4 linked regions of the Tamandua tetradactyla genome follow. The protein of the gene in region 3 purifies or fractionates together with the protein of the main gene of each other region. This does not show direct contact. Links are inferred from orthologs where the notes say so. Each region holds a gene or a part of one and is shown on either strand. Other genes may lie near its edges. The genes, in order: HIPK2, LRP6, AXIN1 and DVL3.

Region 1 (7,659 bases), on a different chromosome or scaffold from region 3:
GGAATCTAAAAGCAACGGAACCAGGGAGCAAAGGAATAGCAGCTACCTTCCCATGTGTCAGAGGGATCCCAGATGCCATCACTCTTTCTTCAGTGAAAGTATCTTGCTGATGCCTTAATTTGGACATTTCCATGGCCTTAGAATTATAACTTGTACCTAATAAATCCCCATTGAAAAAGCCAATCCATTTCTGCTATATTGCAGCAGCTCTAGTGAACTGAAACAGCAGTCATCCCCAATGAATCTGTATTGAGGTTCAAGGTAGTTATAAAGATTGCAAACTATATATCAGATAAGGGTTAAATATCCAGAATATAAAGTACTTAAAGAATTTTTACAACAAAAAAGACAAACAATACAATTTAAAAACAGGCAAATGACTTGAACAGACATTTTTCCAAAGGATATATAAACGGTTAATGGTACATGAAAGATGCTCAACATCATTAGCCATTAGGGAAATGCAAACCAAAACCATAATAAGATACCACTGCACACCTATAAGGATGGTTATGTTTAAAAATGGAAAATAAGTGTTGGAAAGGATGGCATGAAAGTGGAATGCTAGTGCTTTACTGGTGGGAATGTAAAAATGGAAAGTCACTGTGGAAAGCAATTAGCGCTTTCTCAAAAAGTGAAGTACAGAATTACCATGTGACCTGGCAATTCCACTCCTAGATCTCTACCCAATGTATATGAAAACAGGGTCTCAAACAGATACTTGTAGACCGATGTTCATAACAGCATTATCTGCAATGCCAACAGGTAGAAACAATTCAAGTGTTTGGATAAACACCAAGCTTATCCAAAATTTGGAAAAAATCCAATCCAAGTGAATGGGTAAACAAAATTTGGTACATACACAAAATGGAGTATTATTTGGCCAAAAAATGAATGATGTTCTGACATGCTATATATGGATGAACCCTGAAAACAATAAACTGAGTAAAATAAGCAAGGCATATAAAAGACAAGTATTTAATGATGTCACTTATGTGAGATATTTAGAAACAGCAAATTTGCAGAGAAAGTAGATTTGAAGTGGCCAAGGAATGGGGGGAGGGAACAGGTGGAGTTTTTGCTTAATGGGTATAAAGCATTTGTAAATAAAAATTAATAAGTGTAATATTTTGATGCTTGGCATGCTTCAAAACACAGCACCAAAAAAAAAGGAAAAAGAAAGAAGAAACCAGAGCACACATTTCTAAAGACAACTTAAAAAATTCTAACATAGTTCAATCCCTATCTTTCACACTTTAACATCATTGCCATGCTTTGTGAAAATGTTTCCTGGAGTTGATGTGTAAAATGAAGGCCCTGGACCTCACAATTATCAGTGATTTCAAATGTGTACAAACAAATCACGATATATTAACTTTTCTGAATAAGTAGAAGGCATAGGACTATCAATCACAAATGTTTCATTTGGTTTGGAAACTTTGAGAAGATGACTTTCTGGTGAATAAAAGATGCGAAGATACTCTTTAAATTGACCACGGGTGTTTGGCACCTCTAAATACTCACTTAAGTGCCCTACTGGGAGAAAAAAGTGACTTTTCAAAGCATACTCCACCCCTCCAGTTGCATTCCTGTGTTCCATGATGCAATGGTTATGTTCTTGATAAAGAATATTCAGGTTTTGACATCATAATAACCATGCATATCACTCATGGGACGTTCACAAGCTTGGCAAGGCACATTTTGTACCCTGTTTATCACTGAAGTCACCAATGGGTTTAAAAATAGCATTGCATATACACTCAGGGAACCACTGATTCATTAATGGGCAAGCAAACACTATTCTGGGTCCCTTATTTACATGGGATTTTAGATTGAGGTTCCTAGAATTGAAGCACAAGCATCTGTCAAGTGCATAACACCCCTACTTCTCTAGTAGGGGTGTTACGTGGTACCGAGGCTAATTTATGAATATAGATTTGTAGTCCTAAAAGAAGAAATCCTCAAAAATTACAGAATCCAGCATTTCAAATGCCATCTTATTTGTGACTCCAAAATGCTTGACTTAAGAGGTAATAAACAAGAATATTGATAAACTTGGGAACTATATTAAACATAGCAAAATAAAGAGGGATGGTATTATAATGAAAAGTGGTGTTGGTCTTAGTGAAGCCTATAAATAAGAGGCTGAAATTTTTCACTGTTAAGAGCGAAGGAGGGTATTCGATTCTAGGTGCCTGATTTATGTTCTTTAGAGAAAAATATCTCTTAGAGCAGACAATGCTTTCTTAATTTACAGATACCCTTAAAAGTACATAGTGCATTTTGTTCAAGTTTTTTGCTCAAAATCTGTGCTTCTGATCTCCTACTAGGACCCCAGAAAGAACATTCTGACTTAGGGGAAATGCCCTTGTATGTGGATACCTAGACTCTCTGAGATCTACAATTCTCTCTCTCTCTCTAAACAATTCAGGCTAGGGAACAGATAAGATCAATTTTTATTTAAGATTCCCAGAGGTCCTGGGGTAGTATACTCATACAATACAAAGCACAATACAGAAATAAGAGAGCAAAACCTATAACCTCAAGATGGGTTTCTGGAACCAGCCAAGACCTGAAATCTAGAGGACCCAGCCTCTCTAGACCATCAGATAGTTCCATCTCCCTACCCCATATTAGTGACAGTCCCTTCCAACATGAAAAATTTAGAATGGCCATAGCCCATACACCCATAAAGAAAAGGATGGAAAGATCAAAGGTGATAGTGGAGTTATCAGAAAAGATAGGATTTAACAAGTGAATATGATTGTTGAATCATTAAATTGATATCTTTTAGTCTCCAGTATCTTAGAGCAGCTAGAAGTAAAAACTTAAAATTATGGAATTGTAACCCATGTCAAACTCTGAAATATTTTCTACAACAAATTGTGGTGCTGTGCTTTGAAATATATTGCTTTTTTGTATATATGTTATTTTTCACAAAAAAGAAAAAAATAAGTTGATTGCAATGATAAAAAAAAAAAATATTTAAAAAGGTGCCGGCCATGGAGGCTCAGCAGGCAGAATTCTCACCTGCCATGCTGGAGACCCGGGCTCGATTCCCAGGTCCAGTGCTCCATGCAAAAAAAAAAAAAAAAAAAAAAAAAAGGAAAAAATATTTATACTAAACTAGGCTCCTACATTCTGGAGTAGCTAGAAGGAAAAATCTGAGAGGATCATATGGTAGTGTATGACGAACTCTGGGATCTATCCTGTGACTACCTGTTGAAGAGTGCTTTGAAAACAATTGCTTTTTTATTTCTTTGCTTTTTATATATGTTATACTATACAATAAAAAAGTTAAAAAAGAACAGAACTCAACCAAAGGGAACCCAAGGAAGAATGAAAATGTCTAACTACAGCCAAGTCTCCTGGAGAGGAAAGAGTGACACATGAGTTTGAAAAGGTGTGCTGGAGTTGGGGTGTAAAAGGCTCTTTAGTGCCAGATCTCAGTTTTATCCTGTAGGTACTGTGGAACAGCAGGGTATGTTTGAGAGGGGAGGAGGGGATTAGTCTATTTGCAGAATGGAAAATGGGCTAAAGTGACAAAAGACTGGAGGCTGTGACTCTACCACGGACCAGCTGACTCAGACGTACATCTGTAAAGTGGTAAGAACCTGAATGAAGAAAACTGGTGTCCTTGGGAAAATACATAAAGGCCATGTACAGCAGACACTTGATAGAATTGGGCAACTGACAGGGGTGAAAGAGAGGGCAAAGAAAAGAATCCAAGACTGAGTGGAAGCAGTGGGCATGGGTGACTAGGAGGAGAAAGCTGGTGCTGTGCTCCACACAGAAAGGAAACAGGCCAGGCATGGTGGGCAGTGGCCCCACTGACCTGAACAGGGAGCTTGCGTGGCAGCCGCTCTTCTGCAGACAGTGGACAGCACACACTCCTGCCAAAGATCCCCTCCAGCCCCAATTCTCAGTGAACATCTTTCCAAGGATTGAGCTGATCTAAAACTAAGTCAGCTCATAGACTGGCTCTGTGAGCTCCTGTCTTGTGATGATACCCTCTAGTCGAAGCTGGGATTACAAGATCAGATATTATAAAAACTTAACTCAGTAGAGGAATCCCTGGGCTGGGGGTGGTAGAGTAAAGGAGGACCTATCCTCTGTAGAAAGACGTGGGTCAATCAAAACAATTTAGTCAATTAGGATCCCTCCGGTAACACTTGGGATATGAATGGAGAATGTGATAATTTTCGTTTTCCTTCTGATGGCTGGATGCAGCTCAAGCAAGCTCTGCGCTTCTTTCACCAGCATCTAATACACTCAGTTTACTTCCTCCAAATGAGCCTAGCAGACGCAGCACAGAAAGTCCTCTCTATATCAGTTCTCAAACGGTGGTGAAGGGCAGAAACTCCATCCTGTCTTGACCCACACAGCTCTCAGCTGCTCGCCTTTATGATTCTGACCCTGCCAGCCAAGCCCATTCCATTCGTTTTTAGTTAAGCATAAAATGAAGCTATCAGCTCCATTTCCACTGTCTCTGCATGAGTCCATTTTTCTTTTCTTTCTTGGCGCAAACTATATGGCTCATATAGGATTCCTACTGAGTCCTTCTGTAACTCTTCCCTTGCTAAATATTCTTCAATTCCAAGAACTGCTGAATCAAAACAAAAGGTGGGAGAAGGTATGAGAATAAATTCTAAGGGGCAGATGGAAATATAAGAAAGGATGAAAGAATAAGCCTGTTGATTTTTTTTGTTTCCTACCTTTTACTCCCACAAATGCTGAGAATGACTAGAGGGGAAGAAAACCCCTATGCAAGTGAAGTCAGCAACCCAGAGGTCTGTTTTCCTGAACACATGCTATAAGGGTACAGTTCTCTGATGATAAAGTCCCATTAAATCACCAGGAATTCCCTGGAAGATAAACTCTAACACCAGTTAGTTCAAAAGTAGAAGCCACTGTCAACGTACTCACACCTGTGCCCCCACCCCTTCCACTGCTTCACAGAAACCATGGTTGAAAATCACCAGGGCCCTGCACACCTGGCCTCCAGTTAGGGCAGGGTGCTTCTCTGTGCACCACTGGTACTGGGTCACAAGAAGCCACTAAGAGCTACAGGATCACGATTCAGCCATAAAACAGACAACAAATGAGGAGCAGCATAAGCTTTAGTTCCAAGCTACAATTTGGGAAAAGTTATCAGAAAAAAGAAAAAAAGTGCTGTTGGTGGGGAGGCCAATTTCCTTTTACACAAAGGAAATCCTTCTTGCTGATTTAAGAGCAGGGCCAGACCTGTTCAGAGACCAACGGTCAGTACCGAAGGAGACAGAGGAAGCTATACCTTGAGTTATCAAACCAGTGACAAAGACACTAAAACAACTCTGAGCCATGGAAATGCAATCTGGGCACCAGGCCCCAGACCTAATCCATGTGCACATGAGTTAGAAAAAAGATTCAAGTATGTAGGCAGAAGGGTCATATAATAAAGCAACACCTTCAACTCAAGAAATAAACAAAGCCTTAATTCCATATACTCTTCCTAACATAAACCAAGCAGAGGTAAGCTCACAAAGAAGAGAGGAGACCTACATTCAAAAAGGAATGAGATCCTCCCCCTACATGGGACATGACTCCTAGAGGTATAAATCTCCCTGGCAACATGGCACAGAATTCCTGGGATGAGCTGGGGCCTGGCATCATGGGACTGAGAAAGCCTTCTTGACCAAAATGGGGAAGAGAGAATGAGACAAAATAAAGTTTCAGTGGCTGAGAGATTTCAGAGTCAAGAGGTTACCTTATGTATTATATAGATATCCTCTTTTAATTTAGGGTGTATTAGAGTGGCTGGATGGAAGTACCTGAAACTGTTGAGCTGTGTTCCAGTAGCCTTGATTTTTGAAGACAACTGTATAACAGTATGACTTTTACAATATGATCATGTAATTGTGAAAATCTTGTGTCTGACGCTCCTTTTATCCAGGGTATGGACAGATGAGGAAAAAATATGGATTAAAAATAAATAAATAATAGGGGGGATAAGTGGTAAAATAAATTGGGTAGATTGAAATACTATCTAGATTGTAATTGGGTAGACTGAACACAGGTCAATGAGAAGGAGGGACAGGTGGTATGGGGTGTATGAGTTTTTTTTTTTTTCCTTTTTATTTCTTTTTCTGGGGTCATGCAAATGTTCTAAAAATGATCATGCTGGTGAATACACAACTATGTGATGATATTGTGAGCTACTGATTGTACAACATGCCTGGAATGTATGTGTGTGCAGATTTCTCAATAAAAATATTTTTTAAAAAAAGGAATGACAACATCATTGGGTCAACTGACAACACTGGAATACAAACTGTGAGTTAGATAAAAGTACTGTATCAGTGTTAAATTCTCTAATTTGACTATTACACTGTGTTTACATAAGAGAACACCTTAGTCTCAGGAAATACACAGGTATTTAGGGTACAGCGTCACTTTCCAATAGACCTCTGTGATCCATGCCATCCAAAACAGTGGCTATTGAACACTTGAAAATGACACTAGTATAACTGAGGAACTGAACTTAATATTAATTTAAATAGCTACTTCCAGTGGTCATCAAAATGGGCAGCACAAGAATAAAAAAGCATAGTGCTTATAATTTACCCTCGGTTCATTCACAAAAAAACATGCAGGCAAATGAAATAAACCAAATGAAGTAAAAAGATAAGACGTGAATCTGGGTACAGGGATTTGGAGATACTCTTTGTCTTATTTTTATTTTTGCAACTTTTCAGGAAGTTTGAAATTATTTCCAAATAAAATGTTTCAAAAAACGGACGAGGATGAACCTTTATTCATTAATCATTGAAACCTACAGGATGTACCTTGAATTTGTAAGTAAGAAGTTAGAACTAAGATTTAAAGACATTCTAAAATATGGAAAAAACATCCCACAGAGCACACACATGCCTCCGAAAGCCCAGCTCTTTCAAACCCACCTCTTCGTGCAGGATCAACCCTTAGCCTGTCCTAATATGTACCTTTCCACCTCTTTTCAGTTGCCCCCTAGCCTACATATGTCCAAAAAGGACTTGACTGCAACAGCAAGTTCAGGGAAGCTTTAAATATATATACATATATATCAGCTTTGTTGAGATGGAATTCACATGCCATAAAAGTCATCTTTTTTAAAGTGGACAATTCAGTGGCTTTTAGTACATTCAGAGTTGTTAACCATCACGGCTATCTAATGCTAAAACATTCTTATCACTCCAAAAATAAATCCCATAGCCACCAGCAATCATTCCTCCTGTTCCCTCCCCAACCCCTGTCAACCATTAATCTACTTATCATTTCTATGAATTTGTCTGTTCTCAACATTTCATATAAACGGAATCACAATATTTGTCCTTTCGTGTCTGGCTTCTTTCACTAAGCATAATGTTTTCAAGGTTCATCCATGTTGTAGCATATATTAATACTTCATTTCTTTTTATTGCCAAATGATATTCCACTGTATGGATATGCCACTTTTGTTTATCCATTCATCAGCTGATGTACATTCCAACTGTTCCCAATTCTTGTCTATTATATGCAATGCTTCTATGAACGTGGATACAAGTTTCTGTGTGGACATATGTTTTCATTTCTCATGTATATATACCTTGGAGTGGAACTGCTGGGTCATGCAGTAACTCTATGCTTAACCTTTTGAGGAAC
Region 2 (8,002 bases), on a different chromosome or scaffold from region 3:
AATAAGTATGTACCTGGAAGGCACTAAGAAAATGGTAGGATGGCATCCTAGATTGTGAGCTCCTTTAGAGCAAGGACCATGGTCTGTTTCACTTAGACTATACCCACAGAGCCTGGCACATATATTTGGTATTCCATACACACTTGCTAAAAAGAATAAATAATACTTTTAGTAATACTACTCAAAGAATAATAGATCCATACTCTATCATTTATAGCTCTAGGATCTTAATCAAGTTATGATTTCTGAATCTGAGTTTCCTCACTTGTAAATGAGAAGATTATTCAACTTAAAACGCAGGATTTTAGGGTTGAAATTTCCAAATCTTTCCATTACACCTTGTCACCTGGTCATAAAAATATGGATGCAACCGTGATGAAGAACAGCATTATTCCTTGGCTTTCGCCTATTAAATTAACAGGGCTACAATACAAAAGGAACCCCAGACTCTCTCATACACAAGGACTCCCCCATCACTCTCACCCGCCTCATCTTCTCCACTGTTAAAACTACAATCTTCTGTGAAGAAAAATGACCTTAATGCAACGAATTAATCACATTTTTGTCCTTGCAGTCCAAGGTTGGCTAAGTATCACTATTGTAAAAGGATGATCCATTATGAAGGAATGAAGAGAATCTAAATTATGAACAAAAATGTTTTACATCAAAAGAAATTCAGTTCAAATAATATGCACTCAGTTAACTACCATTAAATTCAAAGACCACCTTATCCATTATTATGCTATAATTAAAATGAAAGATCCACTTTTGGAAACTTTTTTTACTACTGGAAATTAGGCAATCTAAACTATTACCCTTTCTAGGTCTGTTACATAATAACATATTTCAAAAACACATTACTTGAAGTACAACTTATCTAAAATCCAATAATGAACAAACCTAGTGTTTAAATAAACAAATGGCATTTTCATCACACCCTTACCCTACAAAAAATACAATGGGGCAACTAGAAGCATCCCTGGTTATGGATTTAGATTTCTCCAAGACTAAAAAAAAGCAGCTGGCTCTCATATTTGTAAACACTATTAACCTTCTATTTAAAATTATAATAATAATCATCTTGTGTCAAATATAACAGTTTCTCAGTCGTAAGAAAACCCCCTTTCAACACGAAGTACACTATAATAAAATAAACATACTTAATATACTCACATACATAACAGTGCATTAAAGTCTCTGCTTTGAAAATTAAATGACCACTATCCTACTGGGGTTATATATGGAAAGAATTTGGAATACACAGAGTCATAATTATTATTAAGCATAATATAACATTCCTTTACTTGTATAAAATACAAGTAAAGGAAAAATTCTTTCTCAGAAAAAAAAAGGTCAATCACTCATCCAAAATAAATACATACACACAGAAATGGTATATCTGCCACATTGACATCCATGAGATCATTAGTTACTATGGTGTTCTGGAAACCAATTAGTTTTTGAGGACTTTAAAAGTTTACTGGTTAAATTACAACTAAAAACCTCTCCATAAACTCAAGAGACCCCATATCTTTAAAGAACTGACCGTGAACACAAATAAGAATTCTAACAAAACCAAAGTACAAGCCAAAAGTGCTTTAATTCTTTTGCTAGTAAATGCTCAATAGCACCAGACTCATCACCTCTTCAACACTAGTAAGTCTGAGAAGAGCTGTCGCAAATCTTGTTGGCCAGTCAAAAATCTTCGTGGACTGTCACAAAATAAAAGTCACAGGGCGTATGTCAGCTCTGCAGGCCAATCCAAAATACCACAGCACCACCTAATTCAGTAATTCTTGGAGCAAAATAATCTAGAATAGCTTCTTTACCAAAGTGCCAAGCAGTCCCCAGAGGTATTTATTTAGCAAATGATAACTTAGGTCTCAGGACAGGTCCCTGCTTCACACAAGGATGACTTTCGTATTTACTGCCAACTGTACACTTGCATGCTCCGAAAATAGGGGCAAGCTCTGAATACCAGGGTGAATACCAGGGGTTAAAGGCAACGTTTCTATTTTATTATGGGCTGAAGCTCAGAAGACTCCGAATGCGAAAAGCTCGACCTATAGCCCTGGAGTCATTTTCAACTCTACTCTCACTCAGAATCATTATATGCCAAGCTGAAGCCAATTATTACTTGTAATATACCTGGAAAAATAGTAAGAGGGTTCTAAAAGTCCACCTAAAAGGCACGCAAAATGTGGAGGCTACGAGAAAGGCCAACATCGAAACACCTTAAGCTTCAACACTTTAAAAGCCAAAGATCTTCTCCCCTGATGACTCCAAGCATAAAGACGCACACTCTCAGTCATTCCATTAGAACCGGAGAAATGGGGCTCTAAGGTTCACTAAGACAAGCAGCCGGATCGAGGCTCAGATTTGGCTACATATGGTCGGGAAAGCCAGGCAGGAGTCTGCACTGTGGCCAGGCGTTCGCACAGCCCCTTCTCCAGGGCCCCTTTCTCTCCTTTTCTAAGACCAGGCCTCTTCACACTCCTCTTCTCCTTTTCCTCCCTCCGTCTCTCTTTCCCCTCCCCCCAGACACACACACACACACACACACACACACACACACACACACACACAAGGCCACGTACCCCTAAATCCCATCAACTCTCCCGCCCCCACCCCTTCCCACCTCTCAAGAGCACACAGAAACTGCAGGCCAGGAAGCTCCTCAGGACGGCCCCCATCTTCCCTTCTCGCGTTCTCTCCTCTCACCAGCGAGGGGCGACCAGAAGAGGGGGAGGCGAGGAGCCGGGGCGGCCGCCGCAGCGGCAGGACTGCACGCTCATGCTTCCCAGCTTTCCAGAGTGAGAAGAAAGGGGCACACGTCAAGGCTCCGCGCGCGCCGCCGCCGCTCTCCCTACCGCGCCGCTCTGCCCCGGGCTCGCGCGACGGCAGCGTCTGCTTCCATCCCGCCGCCGCCTCCCTAGGAGCCCCGCTTCCCCCGCGCAGCTCCTCATTTAGCCTCTTCCTCTCGCTCAGCGGCGCAGGGATACGGCCAGCCGTCCGCCGCCGTCTGGAATGCCGCGATCGTCTTCCTGCGCGCGGACGAATCCCCTTTCTCGGCACGCCCCCAGAGCAGTTATGCAAAGTAGGGGGGCGCGCGCACGGCTTCTGCTTGGAGACCTCGGTAGGCTTGCCGGGCGAGCAGGGGTGAGCTTACCGCGGGCCGCTGCCGAGTGGGGAAAGCCACGCGGCGGCGCATTCCGATGGGATTCTTTCCCAGGCTGGCTGCTGCGGCCCTTCCCGCGGAGGGCGTGAACGACGTCGAACAGCATTGGACACGGCGTGGTCGGGACTACTTTCTGCGGCTCGGCCGGGCCGCCGCCTGCCACGCTCTTTGTGCGGCGGCCGCCAGCAGAGCCAGGTGGGGTTTCGGCTACACTCCGGGCGACCTCTGGGTCGAGGAAGCGGCGGGCCGGGGACGATAGAGCCCAAGTCCACGCTCGACGATCCGCAGCTGATCCTGTCACGCGGAGATGAATGAGTTGTAACTTCGGCGTTGGAAATCAGTTTAGCAATTTTTTTTTTAGGAAGGTAGAAACTATAATGCTAGTTAAACGTGCATCTCTATGAAGGATGTTCAAACACCAGCCCAAAATTGAGCTCGAAAAGAGCTAAAGATCTGTGGACTGACAGGTAAAATTGCAAGATAAATGCGTTAGCACCTAAGACAGAGCAAAAGAACTATTCGACAAAACAGCCCTTGGGATTTTACAAGTTGCTTTTAATAATGAATATGCGGCATGCTTCGATCAATTCTCAACTTGGAGAGGAAAGGATTCCCCTCCAAATTCCAGACACTAACTGCACAGCCTCTTCTACGCAGGTGTACTGAGCATTCAGCAATAAAAGCCTAGACGTCCCCTGAAATCACGTAGCAGGTTTCAGTTGAGGGAGAAGCACCCTAAGAGTTAAGTGTAATGGAGCCATCAGGTGGATTCTACTGAGCTGTCACTCGCCCTTACCTCAGGGCATGTGGACCAGGGAGTGAAGCTACTCCGCAGTGTTACTAATATCTCAGTGATACTGGAGTTCACCAAGTGCTTGCACACACATTATCAGATTTGACACTCAAAACTACCCTGGGGTTGTTACTATTTATACTTACTACACAGAGAAGGAAAATGAGACCCTGAGGGCTTCAGTGACGGGTTACCCAAGACCCTTTACGTAGTAAATAACAGAACCTGAACCCAACCCGGATCTTCTGACTTCAGATACTGTACTCCTTCCAAGAAATGCACAGTAAACCAGTAGTACTGCACTTCTGAGAGCAGAAAAAGGGCAGAAACAGCCAAATTACTACTGCCTAAATTCACCTGAAAAAGTCTAGCCGCCGCTGATTTCAATTACTTTCTTCCAAGAACCATGTCCAGATCCTGTAGGTTTTGTATTCTGATCTCCTCAAAACAGATAACTGAGAGTAAATTTTTTCAGCAATAGGCTGAAGAGGAATGTGTAAAAGTGAAGACAGTGAGTGGGTAGAGACACCGTGTTGTTATAGGGGGAAATGAGCTTTGGAACCATAAACAGGTTAGGATCTAAATTCTATCAGTTATTAGTTATATGACCGTGGGCAAGACATTTAAATGCATTGCACCTCAGTTTTCTCATCTGTAAAATGGGTGGTGTGGATTAAATTGAATAATATATCAGTTGCTCAATATGTAATAGATGCTCAATAAATGACCATTTCCTTTCTGTCTCACCTCTAGCAAGGTGAAATGTGCCATAGTAATTTGCAAACTGGAGAAATAATGGAAGATAAAGAAATCATTACATACCTAGAATGTTTACTGCAGGGGTATTAATCAGAGGTAGAGAACTGTGAAGCTTATGTAAGTTAACCTTCAGAACCTCCAACTTTCACATATGCCTTCCAAAGCCTGAGAGGGGCCCTAACAATGTGTTCACATGGTCCTATTTGCAAAAGTAAACTAATTTTGTATTATTCTTTCTTAAAACAGCTCTTAAAATTGTGTAAGTTTCAAATACCACAAAACCTATATCTGCTCCTGTTTGTTATAGAAAACCAGGTACAACCTATGTCTCCAACAGTAGGGGAATGAGATGTTTATACAACCCCATGAAATGATAATTTGAAGGACTGTGAAACCGTGTTGGAAAATGTTCACAATTGAACTTTTAAAAAAGTGCATGTACTTTTAATTACAGCCATATGATATGTATCATCATATATATATAATCTAATATCACCTTTGTGGGCAAAGACTAAAAGTAAATACAATAAGCACTAGTATAGTGAAATAATTTGAAATTTACTTTTCTAAGTTTCCTTTAATTTTTGTTTCCTTACTATACTTTTTTAAAGCGAAAATCTGTACTTTAAGCTTAAGCCCTGCAAGGATGATATTCTTTTTACATAACTAATTTGTTTTTCTCATTCATTCAATAAATAATCATTAAGTGCCTACTAAATGCCCATCACTGCTTTTTGTAGGTGCCAGGGATGTAAAGATAAGAGAAATCATTGTCCCTACCCTCAGGAAGCTTACAACCTGGTCTGGAAATACTATTTAATAAAGTAAATGATTAATAATTAATATTACATATTAATATTAATATAATTAATATCAACAAGGAACACAGGTGCAGAAGCACTTAGTTCTGCCTGGACAATTCAAAGAAGGCGAAATAACCCTAGAACTGAGGCTTGAAATGTAAGTGGGCGCGTACCAAGCCAACAAGACTAACAAGGAATTCCAAGCAGAAGGATAGCAGGTGCAAAGGCACTGAATTGTTTAGAAGCCTAGGTATGTTGGGGATTTGCAAGTAGATCTATATAGCTGAAGCAATGGTTGCTTTTACATAATGTTGGAAAATGAGCAAGACTATTAAATAGGCATTGGATAATAAAGGACTTTTTAAGCCATGCTAAAAAATGTAGACTTTTGCCTTGTTGATAACATGGACAGTGAAGAATTTTGCACATGGTACATGATAGAGAATTGATTTGCATTTTAAATAATTTATCTGGCTGCAGGGTGGAAAATAAAAGGGCATTAAAGCAAGAAGTAGAAAGACCATGAGGAAGTTATTTTAGAAGTCTATGAAAGGGATGAACAGGACAGTAGCACTAGGAATTGAAAAGAGATGATGGATTTGAGCAACAGGAGATTAAAACAGCAGGACTTGGTAACCTGTTAGATGTGGATAAAGAGATAGAAAGAAAAGTGGTGGGAGAGAGAGCAAGAGAGAGAAGGAAAAATAGTGCAATAGCTTAGGATGGTTTTCCAGATTTCAAAGTTAAACACCTGACTGAAAAGGAGTCTCTTTTGCCAAGAAAAGAAATATATAAGGAGCATTTCAAGAGGGGGTGGGTAAATTAAACAAGTGTCTCTTATATTAGAAGTATCTCTAAAATATTTTAAAGGTAAAAGATAGAGATGTCCAGTAGACAGTTTTGACACATAATTTCAGACTCAGGAGAAGAATGGAAACATGACCATCAGTGATGGTTGTGCAGCTTGTGCACTGCACAATCCAGGGGACATAGTGTAGACTGGAATAATTATTACCATAATTTTCTGGGAGGTAGCAGTAATACTTCTTTAGGAAATGGAACCTTTTTCTAATTCAGGTGAAGTCACCTTTCAGGTGAACAGTGGGCTGAGGGTAGAGATTATAGTTGAAACCATGAATTTATCTAAAGAGAATATTGTGTGTAACTAACAAAGTGGAACAGAGCAGAACCACAGGGTCCATAAGGATCTAGGGGCAAGCAGAAGAAGAGAAGTTAGGGAAAGAGACCAAAAAGAGGCAAGAGGAAAATGTTGAAAAGTGTTGCCACAAAAGGATTGGACAATGTGACAGATAGAGCATGCTGTGAAGTCAGCTAAGGAAGCACCAAAAGAGGCCATTGTGACTTATAATTTCTCAAAAGGTCATTGATGGGACCATACATTATACCAACAACTTAGGAAAGCAATCTGACAGTAAAATATACATATCCTTTAAGTAAGAACCTCACTTGTTGGAATTTATCCACAGAAACAGAAATTTATAAAGATATGTATACAAGGATATTCGTTACAATCTTGTGATAGAAAACAATGAAAAAATGAGCCCACAAAAAAAAAGCTGAATTTTATATCGTTCAACCTAGTAGAAAGAACTTAAATACCTTTCAAGAAGTAAATTAACAAGAGCATATTCTTATTCTGAAATACTTTGCAGCTTTTAAAAAGAATTAGAGCTTCATGTATTGCCTTGGAAGTATAGCCATGATACATTGTTAATGGAAAAAGCAAACTACAGAATTGTATCCATAGTAGTGGCAATTTTTGTTAAGAAGAAAAGAAGGAATTAAGAGAGGGAGAGAGAAGGAGAGAAATCCTATACTGGGGCATACATATCTGTTTTGGATTTGGATAAACAAAGCAAAAATTATGGATGATAACCATGAAATTGTTAAGATTGGATGCAGGAGAATGTGCTTAAAGGATAAAAGGAGGCAATTCTACTTCAGATACTTAACTATTTCAACTAGTATGGAGGAGGGTATTACTTTTTATTTTTTTTAATTCAAATTGCTGTTGTTTTTAATCACTAATAAACTTAGAGTGAACGAAATAAAGTCATTGGTGACTGTACCCAGAGCAGTTTCAGCAGAGTTATGAGAGCCAAATCAAAACAGCAGTGAATTGAAAAAAGAATGGGAAACAGGGAGGGAGGACAGTGGCTTTTTCAGAGTTTTGTGATTGAAGGAAAGAGAATAATTGGGGTGGTTGGAAAGGAATTAGGCGTGGAGTAATTTGGGGTGGTCTTGGTTAGGGTTGATTGGTTACTTTGTTTTTAAGTTTAAAAGAACATAATCATATTAATAATGCAAAGTGACTAATCCAGTAAAGAGGAGGAAAAAATGAATTGGAGACTTCCCAGAGGCTCTGGAGCACTGAAGGATGGATTTGCCTTGGAAGGAAGGAGGATTAGCACCTCTGCTCAAGAAGAGTGTAGTTTTCAGAGACTACTG
Region 3 (7,218 bases):
ACGACACCCCCCCACGCGGGCTCTGGCCGCAATCCCCTCGCGACCCAGCGGGCCATGAGGGTGCCCCTTCGGAACGCCATCTCTGGAAACTCTCCGGCTCACAGCCCGCCTGCAGGGAGACGCACACACCCGGCCCCGCAGCCCGCAGGCACCCCTCAGCCGCAGAGCAGGAGGGCAAGGCAGCTCCTCTCCCCTGCAGGACCCCACACACTGCAGCACCCAGCCTGTGCTCCAAGGGGCTGCCACACCCAGACCCTCTGGGCGCCACACTCTCCTTCCAAAAAACTGCAAGTTTTCCAGCACACCCCCCGCCCCCACCAACAACCTGCAACCAGGGCAAGCTGTGTGGGCCCTAGCTCAGCGCATGTCCATAACAGCTAGCCAGGAGGCCACCCCAGCCCCGGCCTCACGGGTGCTTCGTTCAGAAGACAGGCTGAGGGCACTGTGGGCTACCCTCTTCCGGTAAGGAGAACACCCTTCCCACAGCGGGTGGAAGGAGGGTACTTCAAGGGGCAAGGATGGTAAGCCAGAGCCCCCTCAGGGGCCGTGGCAGCTGCTACGAGCCCACCCTGGGCCACTCCGCGAGGCGTGCTGCGAGGAGCGCAGGGCCCGCTGAGCAACAAGACCACACTGCCAAGGCTGCAGAGGGCCCACAGGGCACTTCTGCAGCTAAAGAGTTCTTAGGAAAACGCCCCGGGGAGCAGCCAGAACAGCCTGCTACCTAAGGTCGAGGCCCGGGAGCCAGGCACCTGCGGCTCACAGGCCACTTTGGCTGCAAAGCCGCTTTCTTTCAGCCCCATTCATGCCAAGGGAGCACCTCTGTGCCCGCAGCTCTGCCCCAGCTTGTCATGCTGTATGTCCTCTCGTCCAGGGTGCCATCTCGGGAAAGAGGGTCTCATTCCTGACCACCTGTGCTCACCCGTGGAGAGAGCCTACAGCTCACAGCCTCACAGGAGGAGCGAGACACTGGATCACCAGGGTGACTCCCCTACAGCCTCTGTCACATGTGTCCACGCAGCCACCTGCAGCAGCTCTGATTTACATGTTTCCTGCAGGACACACAGCACTTACAAGGTCCTGCAACTAACCAGCACCGACAAATACATACGGACATAAAGGAAAAAGAAAGTTGTCACATTCTCCCCACGCCAGCGCCTCACAGGTGCTGAGCGGCTGTTACAGACACGGCAGCAAACCTGAACTCTGACCCCTTATTAGCAAACTGCAGCTTTCAAGACTAACCTTTCAATTCATGTGTGAACCCAGTCCAACCTGGCCATCCTGGGTTAGTTTTCTAGCACAAAAGAACCACTTCTTATGGGCCCACCTGTTCCCAGCCTTGGCACCCGGTGAGCCAAGGCGCTGAGGACTCGGCTCTGCCCTGGGCCCTGCTCTGCACACACACAACAGTTCCCTCAGTCCAGGTCAGAGCTGCCAGCAAGCACCACGCCGGCCCCCAGCCAGGACCACCACCGATAGAGCGTTTCCATGAAAGGGACCTAAGAGGCTGCTTCTTTTTGCCACTACCTGGGCATACCCCAGCCCCCACGTGGCCCACCCCAAGAGCAACCACACAAGCATATCTGTGGACGGATGTGGTTACATCTTTTACTTAAACATAACTTCCGAATTTTTTAATTACATGGAAAGTGAAAGAAACGGTATGCCATAACTTCCGAATTTTTGAATTACGTGGAAAGTGAAAGAAACGGTATGCAATTCTGACAATTTTCCTACTGTCCATTAATTCAACTCTTGAAGAGTCAGGGCTATTGTCTGAAATGCAACCCACTCCCCACTAGCTGGATTCTCAAGAACCAACTTAAATCAAGAAAGTCACTTAGCTTTTCTAAAATTCTACATCCAAGAAAGTCACCTTGTATTTCAAATGTATTCCCACCCCTGTCCCTGGAGAGACTTTTCTAAAATCAAACTCGAGCTTCTGCTGGCTATTTCTGTGATCCAGTTCAGAGCAAAGACCCAAGTACACCTGAGAACCAAAGTGTGAACAAAAAGGGGCCCATGTGCACAATACAGACCTTTACAACTGCCTCAGAGTGGGGCTGAGAAAAGCACCTGAAGGGTAACATCTCTGTTATCCTCAACGACAAGCTAAAAGTTTTACTACCTTACCTGCTGCTTCCTTTCATCAGGGGTGTTAAGCTGCAAAGTGTGGGTTGCAGGTAAAAATCTTAAGACTCATTACCCAGGAGGAACACCTGGTTTTTTGGTGGCAAGGTATCATCCTGAGGGGTAAGGGAAGCCAACCACAGCATCCTGCACAGAGAGGGGGTGCCCTCCATGAGTGCACACAGCTCTTCCTGTTTTTTTGGGGGGGGTGCAAGGCGGCGGCAGGATCCCTGCAGACCATCCAGCCCGGGCAGCTACTGTGCACCCACTCACCCGCTGAAAGCTGCCCCCCGCCAGGGTCCGCGGCACCCACCCACACCCGGCCCCACGCACGGAGCAGAACCCTGCGTCTTCCTCACTTCCTTTCGCACCCCTAGGCCCAGAACCCGCCCAGACTCTTCCCCGTCCGCACACCCCAAGTCATGGGGCCTTGCCCCTATTCCCCGCCAGTGTCCGACTCCCAAAGCGCGACACCCTCACGCCGCCCCCCGCGACCTCCGCGCTCCCTCGGCCCCCCCCTGCTGCCCCGCCCCCCGCTCACAGCAGTCTGGCGGCCCCCCGGGAACCCGCGCGCCCTGGCCGCGCACACTCCCGGCCCCACCGCGCACCCCGGGCCCCGGACACCCTCGCCTCCCCGCGCACCCAGGAGCCGCGCACTCCGGCCCCCACGCCCCCGTCCCGCCCCCGCCCCCGCACGCCCTTAGCCCCTCTTCCGGGTGCCGCCCCCGGCCAGGCCTCGCGCGGCCTACAATGGGCGCCCGCCGCCCTGCGCGCCCTCTGGCCCGGCCGCGCTACTCACCCGCACGGCGGCGGCGGCGACTGGGCACCCGGCCCGGCTCCCGAAGCGGCGCGGCCCATGCGCTCAGCGGCAGCGGGACGGGCGGGACGGCGCGGGGGCGCGGCCGGGGGCGGCCCCCATCGCCACGGCCTCGGCGCGGGCCCGGGGGAGGCGCTGGGCGCCGCCGAGGCCGACCGCCCCGCTCACCGGGCCTCTGCGCGGTGGCTGCGGCTCGGGTCCGATGGCACGGGGTCGGCGGCGGCAGCGGCAGCGGCGGCGGCAGCGGTCGGTTCCGGAGCCGGAGCCCGGAGCGCCGAAGCCAGGCCCGAGCGCCCCCGCCGGCGCCGCCCGGAAGTGCGGGGGCGGGGCCCGGGGTTCAGGGGCGGGTCGGAGAGCGTGAGGGCGGGCCGGAAGCGTAGGGGCGGGGCCAGAGCGTAGGACTGGGGTCAGAGCGCATGGGGGGCCGGGGTTGAGGGCGTGGCCGGGAGCGTGGGGGCGGGACCGAGAGCGTGGGGCGGGGCCGCAGCCAGGAGCCAAATGGCTGCAGGCGCGGAGGCGTGGACCCGCGGGGCGGGGCGGGGCTGCGCTGCGCAGGCGGGGTCCCGGGACTGCCCGGGGAGAAGCGCTGGTTTCGCCTCGGTGTCCGGGGTGGGTGGCGCAGAGGAGACGACGCTGGGGAGAGCCCTGAAGGGCCGCCGACGGCCCCACCGCCCACCTTCGCCCAGCCGGCCAGGACCCGAGCAGCCCCCAGGCATCCGGGAAATGCTCAGGACCCTTGGCCGGAGCTGCAGCTTGCAGAGGGCTGAGGTCCGGGGTGGCGGAGGGGCTGTCCTCCTGCCTCTAGGTCTCCCCAGCACCATCCAGGGTGCAGCCTCGGGCTCCCTGAGGGCGAGGACCTCGGGGGTTCCGGCCTGGCACCCACCCCTCTCTCCCAGCACCGTCTTGGTCTGCGGTCGGCGCCTAGAAGCATGGCCGGCCATCGCTGTGCTGGCCACCTGCCCACCACAGGCCCCGGAGGTCTGGCAGCCACCCAGGAGTAGCTTTGGCCCACGGGACGCGGTCAGCTCCAGGGCCGCCCCACAACAAGGATGTGGCAGCAGAAATTGCAACCTCCATGCCCCCAAAGTCACATCTCCTCCCCTCCAGTGATTCGGTGAGGGCCTTTGCCCTGTACTGGATGTACCAAAAGCCCCCCGGGGCCAGCTCTACCCCCAGTTCAAGTGAGGAGGCTGCGGCCCACGGTCAGGGCCTTGCTCACCTCCTGTGGCCTGGGGCACCCTGCATTTCTGCACCCCCAGCCGCCAGGCCCTCCTGTCCTCTACCCCCTGTGGCTGGTCACTTGCCATCCACCATGATTCCACCCCGCTGCCACACTGACACCCCCGACCACCCTTTCCCGCCACTGCTATGGCCTCTCTGGACCCTTCCCGCACTGACTGGGGCAGAGCAGAAGTCCCAGCCCAGCGCGCGCTGGGCCAGCAGCCAACCTCGGCCGGCAGCACCCCAACCCCAGTGACGCCGCGAGAGGGAGGACAGGCCCTGGGAGAGTGTCCCCAGGCCTCCACATGGCAGGGGCATGTGGACACCAGCCACAGACAGGGCAGGCAGCGCCTTGTGTCCCACGGTCCCAGGGGAGACTGAGATGGTGTCCTCCATGGCACCGTGGGTTCCACGGGTGAAGGAAACTTGGAAGGGCTGAGCCGATGGTGCCCTCAAGGGTGCCTACCCCCACGCGTCCGGCGCTTGCCTTGGCTCTGCAGAGCCGCTGCTGCGGCCAGACCAGGCTCGCAGGGTTGCATCCACGTCTGTCTTCCCGCTGGCCCACGGCGGCGGGTGTTCCCAAGGCCTGGGGCCAGGACGCGGCCCTCGGGCTTCCTGCTCCTCGGGCCTGCCAGCCTGCAGGGACAGGAAAGGGGTCAGAGAGCCCGGGAGCAGCGCAGGGCCCTGTGGGCGGATAGCAGGGGGGCAGGGGGCCCCCCACTAGGGGTCTGGCCAGAGGGGCCCTGGCAGGGGCAGCAGGGGCTGGTCAGCCTCAGCACGTGGGCTGCTCTCCACAGGGGCGAGTCCCCTCTCAATTTGGGGGTCTTTAGGATCAAACAGCCCAGTGCAGGGAGCAGGACCCAGGCACCCGAGGCCCAGCGTGGACAGCTGGTGAGTGTGAAGACATCAGCGCAGGATCTCCAAGAATGAAATGAAAACCGGGAGGGCAGGAACCAGAGCTCTACGTCAGCTGGGGCTTAGGGGAGTGGGGGAGCCCTCTGCCCCTGGATGGGTGCCCTGCTCCTCTCTCCGTGCCTGGCTGCCACACCAGAGGCTCAGCCCAGGTTCCGTCTATCTGTCCCCCATCCGCGGTCCCAGGGCTTCTCCCTTTAGGTCTCATGTTTACCCCCCAGAGGCCCAGGTGCTAGGGAGACGGGCCTGAGCCCCCGCCATGCCTGCCTGGCTCTTCTCCTGTCGGAAGGAATCGTCGAGGCCTGGGGTGGGTACCAGCTACCCCCCAACAGCCTCGATGCGTGCGGGTGAAGGTGGGGACTGCAGGAGGTGCTGCCCAGAACCGGGGTCCCCTCAGCAAAGTGGGGCGCCCCCACGAGCCTCAGACACTGCACAGGGTCGCAGGGGGACGTGGGGCCCCCGACTCGACTTCCCCAAGAAAGCCGGCGTCCCCAGGGCACTGCCACCACTCACCGGGCCCGCCACGCTCGGAGCTGCCCCCCCTCCCCCCTCCCCGCCTTTGTTGCTGCCAGAATCCGTCGTGGCAAACAAAAGTGCGGGGATTAGCTACAGGCATTAAATGACCTGCTCCTCCGAGGTCACCTTGCGACCCGACCGTCGCCCGACGGAGGCTTTGAGCCCCGCCGCCCCGGCCGCGCGCACACGCGTGCACACGCACACGCGCACACGTGCACCCTCTTTGATCTCCGAGGGGCTCCGTTCACCAGCCCTGGACAGCGTGCTGCCCCTGCCCCTGCCGCAGCCCGCTGTCCTTGGACGCCCGGGTAATGGGATTTGGCGTTTCTGATCCATCTCCCCCGTTAGGATGGGCGGTCCTTCTCCCCTTCTTTCTCTGTCCTCTTCCTTTTTGAAAAATGCTTCGTGGGAAACTGCTCTTTCAGCCACGCCGCCTTTGCACGGGACAGCGGGCCAGGGCGCGGTGCTGGGAGAGGGGCCAGCCAGTCGGGGGTCTTTGATGCCGCCCTCGTGACATCTGATGTGAAAGGCCCGGGAGGGTGATTTTCGGACCGGGGCGCGGTGGGGCTTGTCCGCCTCGCGCCGCCTTCTTTGTTTCCCTGCCCGGGAACCTTGCTAGGACATGGGGACAGGGCCCAGGGTGGGTGTGCGCAGGTGGGTGGACATGGCAGGCGGGCCAGCCAGGGGCAGGACCACGCCGTGGCCACAGTGGGCAGCGCGTCCACCTGTCTGTGCATCCGTCTGTCCACCCGCCCGCCCGGCTTACCTCACCTGCCTGGCTCCGCGCGCCGGCCCGCGGCCCGCCCTCCCGCTGTCCGCCATGACGGGCCTGGCCGTGTCCGAGCACTGGCAGCCAGTCCGGGCAGCAGGTCCCGCTCGGCCACTGTGGGGCTGGGAGGGACGCGTGACTCGAGGCTGCAGCTCGGGCTCCCGCCGCCGATTGGCTGAGGCGGGACCAGATGACGGCCTCGGAACCCTATGGTAGCCATGGCAACCAGCCCCCCAGCCCCTCCCGACTGCCGAGGGAGCAGGTGGGTGGCCGGTGGGCCCACACTGGGGTCCCCTCCGAGGGTCGAGTAGGGCGTGGCTGGACGGTGCAGCTCCTGCCCATTGCAGGGCACGAGTGTGAGTGAGGGGTCCCCGTCCAGCCCTCCTGGGCACCTGCTCCAGGCACTGCCCGGCCCCCAGGATGGCCCTGCTAGAGCAGGGCTTCAGGTCCGGCTTGCCCCAGCGGCTGAGGTCAGGCCCCATCTGGAAAGAAGCAAATGTGGGGAGAAGTGTAGGGAGGAACCCCGGTGGGCACAGCCACCGCCACAGCCATACCGGGGCCCTGCGCCTGGGCCTCCCCTACCCCACCAGACCCTGGGGCTGCGGCCACATTGCCGCACGGGGCCTGCAACTGCAGCTGCCCTCCGCCGCCTGGGGGCTGTCTGCCTGGGCCGCCTACCCCTGTCCGGAGAGCAGGGCTTCTCAACTAGGCATGGTGCGTCCCCACTGCACCCCCTGTGATGCCGGGAAGGGCCGGAGGCCACGCCTGTCGAGTGGACCAAGGGAAGACGAGCCTTTGGACGGGGGGCAGGGGTGGGCCTCCGGCCCCGAGGGGGGTGAGTAGCTGCTAGGGA
Region 4 (7,207 bases), on a different chromosome or scaffold from region 3:
GTTATGGTCCAGTACATACTTCATGTAAGAACACTGCAAGTGGGAAGAGCAGTCAAAGCAGCAGATTTGTTCATTGGACAGAGATCTGTTGAGTGTTATTTATGTATCTGATCCTAACTAGCAGCTGGGTAGGGCTGTAAGGATAAATAGGATAAAGTGCCAGAAGAGTTCTCATGGAAATGTTCAACCAGAAGGACAGGGAGACAGGTGAAGAGTATTCCAGGCAGAAGGCCCAGAGTTAGGAAAGTGTGTGAAATGCAGGAGGAAGCAACACAGTTAAGTGACCTCACTCCCTATGCTGCCCCCTCATGCTGCTCAAAGCGAGGTTCAAAGGGGGTACCTTGTTCTTCCATCCACTGTCAACCTAGGGCTGAAAAACGTTTATCCTTCCTCCATTTTTCAAATAACTTAAGAATGCTGCTCCTACCCTGAGCCTGACAAATACTTCTGGAACCCAGATGAGACTTGGGGAGCTCTGATGCCTCACAAATCAAGCTCTAGGGGTAAACCTTGCACACAGATGTTGAGGCTGGAGAGCGGCAGCCTTTCTCCTCTGACCGGCTTTCCCATCTGCCAGCAGGTCCCTGGCCTCTGCTCACTTCCTCTCACGGGGCTTGGGTACATGACAGTTTTACCACTTCTACAGTTTACCAAGACACAACATCTCCCACAGAGAGAATATGCTTCTACCACTGGATGGGTAAGGATAGACTTCGGGAAGCATATGCCTTGGGGACTCTAGAGCCAGATGTGTGCCCTTGGGCAAATTACTTAAGTTTTCTGTGCTCTAGTTTCCTGATCTGTAAACTGGGAATACCACTTCCTATTTCACAGGACTGTTATAAGGATTAAATGCACGAAGATTTGAAAAGGATTTAGATCAGTGCCTGACACTCTGTAAGCACCATAAAAGGGTTTGTTAAATAAATGGAATTATATACATATGTTCCTCAGCTATTAGTTGTTGGTATTGTTTTGTTTACTTTGCTTTTGGTGACAAGTTAGCCCTACCAGGTCTCCTGCTTATTTATCATTCTGGTGATAAAAACAAACTCAATTTCCTCCAGTTTGTTTTTAGCATTATTTTCAACCCTGTTAAAATGTCCTAGTCTGATAGTTTGCAAAGGGTATCACTGATGTATACAAGATGATTTTAGGTGGTACCTGAATGAACATTGCTTAGTTCAATAGTTAAATATATATTTAATGTATTTTAACTATGCTAGCCCCTCAGCCCGTCTGGCCGGACCCAGGGTGGCCCTACCATACTGGTTGGTTTTCCCACATCCCAAATTACAAGGTGTTATCAGTTTCTTCTAGACCTTTTCTTCCCATGCCATGCCAGACCATCCACCCTTCCCTCACCCCACCTTTTCCAGATCAATCTCTCTTTCGAATCATCCAATCAGGGGTGTCTGTCTCTGGACTGAAGCCAGAGATTCATCACCAGACCAGGAGTATCCACTCCTGGGTAAAAACAACAACTGAAACAAGAACAGTTCGAATCACCATAGCACTTCCTCTGTACCAAGCACTTTTGCACACATGATTTCATGGGCTTTTCAAGTCCTGAGTTCCAGGGTAGAAAGTGATAGCAAAACACGCCAAGCAGAAGATAGAAGGTGCATGATTCTTGGCGCCAGGAGGCTGAGGCTCTGGGAAAGAAGCTAGACTGATGACCACTGGGGAAAAGAATGTCTTCCTCCACTCAGTTCTGGGGCCTCAGCTGCAGGGCACAGAGCAGGCCTCAGGCCAGGGCTGGAAAGCGCCCTTCAGGCCCCACGGCCAGGGGTGGGGGTGGGGGAGGTTTCCCCCGTGGGCCTCTGGGCTCAACACTGGATTCTCAGCCTGGCTGGTGCTGGGGGCCTCCCCCTCCCCCCTCATCCCTTGGGAGTTGGGGAGGTGGGGGTGAGAGGATCCACCAGGCTCTCCTTCCAAGGCCAGCTGCTACAGAACCTTCTGGCTCCAGCATTCCATCCCTTCTTAAAGGGGAAGTGGCTGCTTCCAAACTCCGCCTGTCCAAAGCCTTGCAGCTGGGCGGATGGGAAGACCCCGCTAAGGAGGGGAAGATGGAGAACACAAGAGATTCCTCCTGACCCTCCCATCCAGACTCTGAGGCCCTTCCCAAGGTCTCCTTCTCAGCCACCATCTGGAGGAAACAGGCCCCAATTCTGAGGGGAGACCAGCACCTGGGTTAGTAAGGAGTCCTCCACAGGGGTCAGGTGCTCCAATCCCTTGACAACATCCCGAAAATTCCAAAGGGAGAGGAGAGACAGCTAAATAAACATCAGTTCTGCAGGCCCCAGCATACAGCCCGGCGCCGGAGCCCTTTCCCCATCCCCATCCCCCAGTTCAGAGCCCCCAGGAGAGAGCCCTTAGATGTGGGATCCTCCAAATATGGCTCTGAGTCGTGGAGCTCAAAAGATGGAGAGGGGAAAGGCTGAGTGCCAAACACCTCAAGTCTACGCTAAAAGGTGGCTCACCTGGCAGGAGGCGAGCTTTGGGACTGGGTGGAGGGACGTGTGTCTGTCTGTCCCTCTGAGGACGTGCGGGTGCTGCCTAGGAGGAACTCTGACTGCTCCTGGAGAGCTGGACATCCCCCTAACGAGGGTGCCCAAAGTGGGAAGGATCCCACCACAGGAGGTGACAGGGGAGCCCGAGGGGGCTGTGACTCCAATCTACGAAAAAGCCAAGGCGGCCCAGATGGGCTGGTCTGCGCCCAGAAGCCCCTAAAAACCTGAGGCGCTGGGGTCGGCAGGAGGCGGGGCGGGGCCTTCCTCACCCGAAGTCGTCATCCATAGACTTGAAGAAGAACTTATAGCTGGGTCGTTGCAGGACGCCCTTAAAGTCCGCCAGGGTGACGCGTTCGGCGGGCAGCGGCAGCTTCACCAGGTACGGCGTCTCCTGCCCGTCTAGGTGGTAGATGATTTTGGTCTCGCCCATGGCTCCGGCCTCGGGCCCGGCGGCCCGTGTGCGGCCTGCTCGGGCGGCCGGGCCGGGCTCTCGGGCAAAGGCGGCGCTCGGCGCGGCCAGGGGCTCAGCCCAGCTGCGCGGCCGGCCGCGGCGCCAGCTCCCTTGTTCTCCGGCCGCCCCCGGGTCCCAGCGCCGCCCGCCGCCGCCGCTTCCGCTCCCCGCTCTCCAGCTCCGCGGGCGACCGAGACTCTTCCGGTGGCCGCGGCCCTCTCGGCACTGGGCTGCGGCCGGCCCGCTCCCCTCCCCCGTCCCCGGCGCCGCCCCGCCCCGGCGCAGCCACACCCCCGGCGGCCGCCGAGCAGCGCTGGCCCCGCGGCCGAAGGCCCGGCCTGGGCCCGGGCCCCGCAGATCCCGCAGCGGCGCTCCACACCTTGGCTCTGGTCCGGGGCCCACAAGGAGCGTGACTGGGCTCGCCCCGGCCCACGGAGATGAAAGGGAGATTCGGCCAGGATGGAGATTCTGTCTCTGGACCCAAGTGGGATCCATGCCTCCTTAACATTCAGGGAGGGGTGGAAAGCAGGGGTCGCTTTGGTCCCCAGAGATGATCTGGGGGAAGGGGGCTTAGTCTATGAATCCCTGGAGGAAAGGAACAACTTGGCATTTTAGGATTTGTTGAGAAGCACGGGTGCTGTCACTGAGCCCACCAAATCCAGCTTGAGGGCTGCACAGTTCTGATTTCTCCTGATTACCTCAGTTGACCTAGCAAGGATCAGGTGCATAGTGGTGGTTTAATAAGTAGATTGAACGATAAATGAGTTGATACATGCATGATTGGGACAGTTAAGTCTTAAATCAGAACTAGATATAACTGTTCCCTAACAGATCTCTTCACCCTTAGCTTTTTTCTTTTATTATTTTTTTCACCCCTAGCTTTTAATTCGTTTAATAAATATTGAGTGCCTATTATGTGCAAGGCAATGGTACTATGCATGAGATATAGCAGTAACCAGGACACATAAGGGTGCCCTCAGGACCTCCAAAGACACTCACAGGCTTGTAAATAACTTTGGAGAATGATAAATACTACCAAGATAAAATGGAGTTATGATTGTGACAGGGGAAAGAAGAATATTCAGGATGGGTTGATCAGAGAAGACCTCTTCCATTTGAACTAAAACCTAACTGATGAGAAGGAAAAGCTATCAGATCTGGGGAAAGAGGGCACAGCTAATTATAAAGGCTCAGGAAAGGAAAAAGCGTGCTAAATCTGAGGAACAGGAAGAATGCCATTGTGACGGGAGGAACCGTGGTAGATGAGGCTGGAAAGATAGGCAGGGGACAGATCGCATAGGGCCTTTTAGGCCACAGTAACAAGTGCAAGCTATCCTACTCTGTTTTGTACAGTTGGCAAAATAGCATTTAAAGAGTAAGCACCTCTTTCAGATCTGCTCAGAAACCTCCTCACATTCCCCAACAATTTCCAAGTATTAACATGCTATTCTAGGTTCTCCATAATTTGACCTCCAGATTATGGACCTTATCTTATTTTTCTTTTTAGGAGATGCACTAGTCAAAATATAAATATCTTTATAGCCTTTGCCTATCTCCTCAACCTTTTAACTCCCCTGGCCAATGCACTTGCTAGCCCCTGCATACAACCTTGTATATTTCCACTTCATTCCGTTCCCTTTACTCTCTTTAATTTTCAAATTTTACCAAAGAAATATGTATGCAGATAATATTAAGAAACTTTTTAACAACAAAAACAGCAGTCCCCTGTCCCATTACCATCTTCACCCCCCGAATTATCACTTTTTTTACTACCATAATTTCTTGATATATGTATTCTAAACATTGCCTATTGATTTCCAATTCTGATTTATTATGACTTAGCTCTTCCACCTTGCTCTATTATCTTAGTATGATGAAATCACACTTTTTGGTTGTCAATGTAGTACTTTGTATTGACATTATTTCTTTATGATTGTCTACTGCCAAGTCATGTGTGCTCCATGATTATACTCCCTTACCAACTTTTCATTCTCCTGGCATTATTGCTTTGCTATTTCATTTACTTTAAAAATATACTGTACCCATCACATTAAATAACCCATGCATCCATTTTCCCCTGGAGTCTTCCATCCTCTCTCGCTCTAGTGTATACTGCTGGCTGTTTTAGTCTACTGCACAGTTGTCACCCTGGGACTTTTCTGCATCACCCTCGGAATCCCTTTTACCTCTTCCATGTTGGTTCTGTTTCCTGGATACTTTACTCCTTTGATTTCATAAACCACATCCTTTAGTAGCTTTCTTTGAGGGGAATCATGGGAAATTTTTTTGAGAACTTCCCTATTTGAAAATATGTGATTTTGAGTTAAAAATAATTTTCCTTCAGAAGTCTGAAGGCATCATTCCATTGTCTTCTGGTAGTGTTGTTATTGAGCAGTTTGATTCCTTTATTTTCCCTAAGTCTTTGTAAACAAATTGTTTTTATTCATTCTCGAAGCCATTAGGAAGTTCACTTTATCCCTGGGATTTTGAAATTTCATGCATGATATGCTTTGGTAAGGATGTTTTCACTGTACTACTTACTAGTTGACACTTTGTATCCAGAAATTCAACAACTGTATTCAGTTGACCCTTTGTATCTAGAAATTCAACAATTCCTTGAATTGTTTAATAGCATCCTTGCTATTATTTTTTCCTGTTATTTTTCTGCAACTTCTGTTAGTCTAATTTTGGACCTTCTTGATTGATCCTTTAATTTTCTCATTTTTTCCCCTTTATCTTGCATTTTTAAAAAATGATTTCAGCTTTTTTTGCATTCCTCTAACACTATTTACATCACAGATCAGAGTTACCTTATAGCTACTTGTATTTAACTGCTCCTAATAGATCCATGCCATAACCATCTTCATGCTCTTTGGATACTAGGTCCTGTGAGAAACTGAGAAACTGAGATTTCCTGAACCAGAAAAGTAAATCAAGCCAACTCTGGTCAACCTGTTTGTTTCCTTTAGAAATACCCAATGTCTTTATGCCCCTCAAGTGGAGGCAACACTCCACCAACTGGACTGAAGGCAACCGTTTTATCTGTGATGCCCGGGAGAGCATGTGCCACAGCTTAAGTATCAAGTTGAGGGTTACAAAAAGGCAACAAACAGCTCAAAAAGAGGAGATAGAGGGCATGTTCTCAAGGTTGAGGTTAAGGGAAACAATAAAATGAGTTGACTAAACTGGAGTCCAACACCACATCCTGGCTCTCTCAGTCACTAGTTATGGGACCTCAGAATAGTTAACTTCTCTGAGCTCCAGACTCATCTGAAAATGGGTTAAAACCAACTTTTGTAGGGCTAATGTGAGGGTTAATTAAAATAATGCATGAAAAATATTTAGTAAAATGCCTTTCATTTGGTAACCAAGTGAAACTCATTATTAGGGAAACTCTGCTTTATAGGGCCTTCATGTGGTCTTCAGGATATCCATTGCCAGCTTGGGGTTATATTTGCCTCTGGGAGCAATTTCTCCTTTACTGAGACATTGTGCTGAGCAAAAAGAACACTGTATTATGAGTGCCAAATCCTTAGCTTTAACACCCAAGCGGCATGCAACCATAAGCAGATTTCCTTATTTTTAGGATGGAGAGTGGCCCAGCTTCCCTGACAGGACTAGTGGAGAAGTAGAGACCACTGGATCAAGTGGAGAAGGCATGTGAGAGACACTGGCAAGTAGTAATAGGCATTCTATAAGCTTGGCATCATCACTCAGAACAAAATACTAAATTTGACAGAACAGTGTCATAGACATAGGCTCAGCAACTTTCCCAGGTCCACGAATTGATCCACGGTGGCTGGAAAAGAATCTAGTTCCTATGCTACCTATGAGCCATAGATTAGTCAATTAGCCAGGCACTACAGTACCACCTAGTGGCCATAATAGCCCTCTGCTCTCTCTCCCCCAGGTGTTAGGGAAACACTGCCATGTCAGAGGTTCAGAATTCTCTGTTGGCATACTTCAAAGGCTGGTCAGTTAAGAACTGGACAGAAACCAATACACCTCTCTCTCTCTCTCTCTTTTAATTATTAACAAATACAAGCAGCAGAGAGGCTAGCTGCTTTCTGTTGTTCCCTGAAGAAAAGCCAGAGCACAAAGTTGTTCCTTTGGCCTTCCTCCAGCTGTGGGGCCTGCTAAGCTCCTTCCTAAGCAGAAGCTTTGTTCCATCCCATTTTTCCTCATTCCAACTCCTCAGTCAGGATGGGAGCACATGGTTGCTGGCGGTGTGAAGAATACTGTA

What was found.
Region 1: the proteins of AXIN1 (region 3) and HIPK2 purify together in Homo sapiens (affinity purification with western blotting; 3 studies listed by BioGRID). This does not show direct contact. The link is inferred for Tamandua tetradactyla from reciprocal best matches to the Homo sapiens genes AXIN1 and HIPK2.
Region 2: the proteins of AXIN1 (region 3) and LRP6 purify together in Homo sapiens (affinity purification with western blotting; 7 studies listed by BioGRID and IntAct, with this or other methods). This does not show direct contact. The link is inferred for Tamandua tetradactyla from reciprocal best matches to the Homo sapiens genes AXIN1 and LRP6.
Region 4: the proteins of AXIN1 (region 3) and DVL3 purify together in Homo sapiens (affinity purification with western blotting; 3 studies listed by BioGRID and IntAct, with this or other methods). This does not show direct contact. The link is inferred for Tamandua tetradactyla from reciprocal best matches to the Homo sapiens genes AXIN1 and DVL3.

What each region holds. Positions count from the first base shown.
Region 1 is NC_135327.1:183,030,872-183,038,530, forward strand, and holds the start of HIPK2 (homeodomain-interacting protein kinase 2), read right to left. Parts: upstream 3,006-7,659; 5' UTR 1,601-3,005; coding exon 1,525-1,600; intron 1-1,524.
Region 2 is NC_135333.1:74,708,877-74,716,878, forward strand, and holds the start of LRP6 (low-density lipoprotein receptor-related protein 6), read right to left. Parts: upstream 3,006-8,002; 5' UTR 2,694-3,005; coding exon 2,639-2,693; intron 2,541-2,638; exon of another isoform or gene 1,190-2,540; coding exon of another isoform or gene 1,174-1,189; intron 1-1,173. UniProt on the Homo sapiens protein: Component of the Wnt-Fzd-LRP5-LRP6 complex that triggers beta-catenin signaling through inducing aggregation of receptor-ligand complexes into ribosome-sized signalosomes.
Region 3 is NC_135349.1:56,967,879-56,975,096, reverse strand, and holds the start of AXIN1 (axin-1), read right to left. Parts: upstream 3,018-7,218; 5' UTR 2,930-3,017; intron 2,365-2,929; exon of another isoform or gene 1-2,364. UniProt on the Homo sapiens protein: Component of the beta-catenin destruction complex required for regulating CTNNB1 levels through phosphorylation and ubiquitination, and modulating Wnt-signaling.
Region 4 is NC_135336.1:2,424,898-2,432,104, reverse strand, and holds the start of DVL3 (segment polarity protein dishevelled homolog DVL-3), read right to left. Parts: upstream 3,011-7,207; 5' UTR 2,944-3,010; coding exon 2,783-2,943; intron 1-2,782. UniProt on the Homo sapiens protein: Involved in the signal transduction pathway mediated by multiple Wnt genes.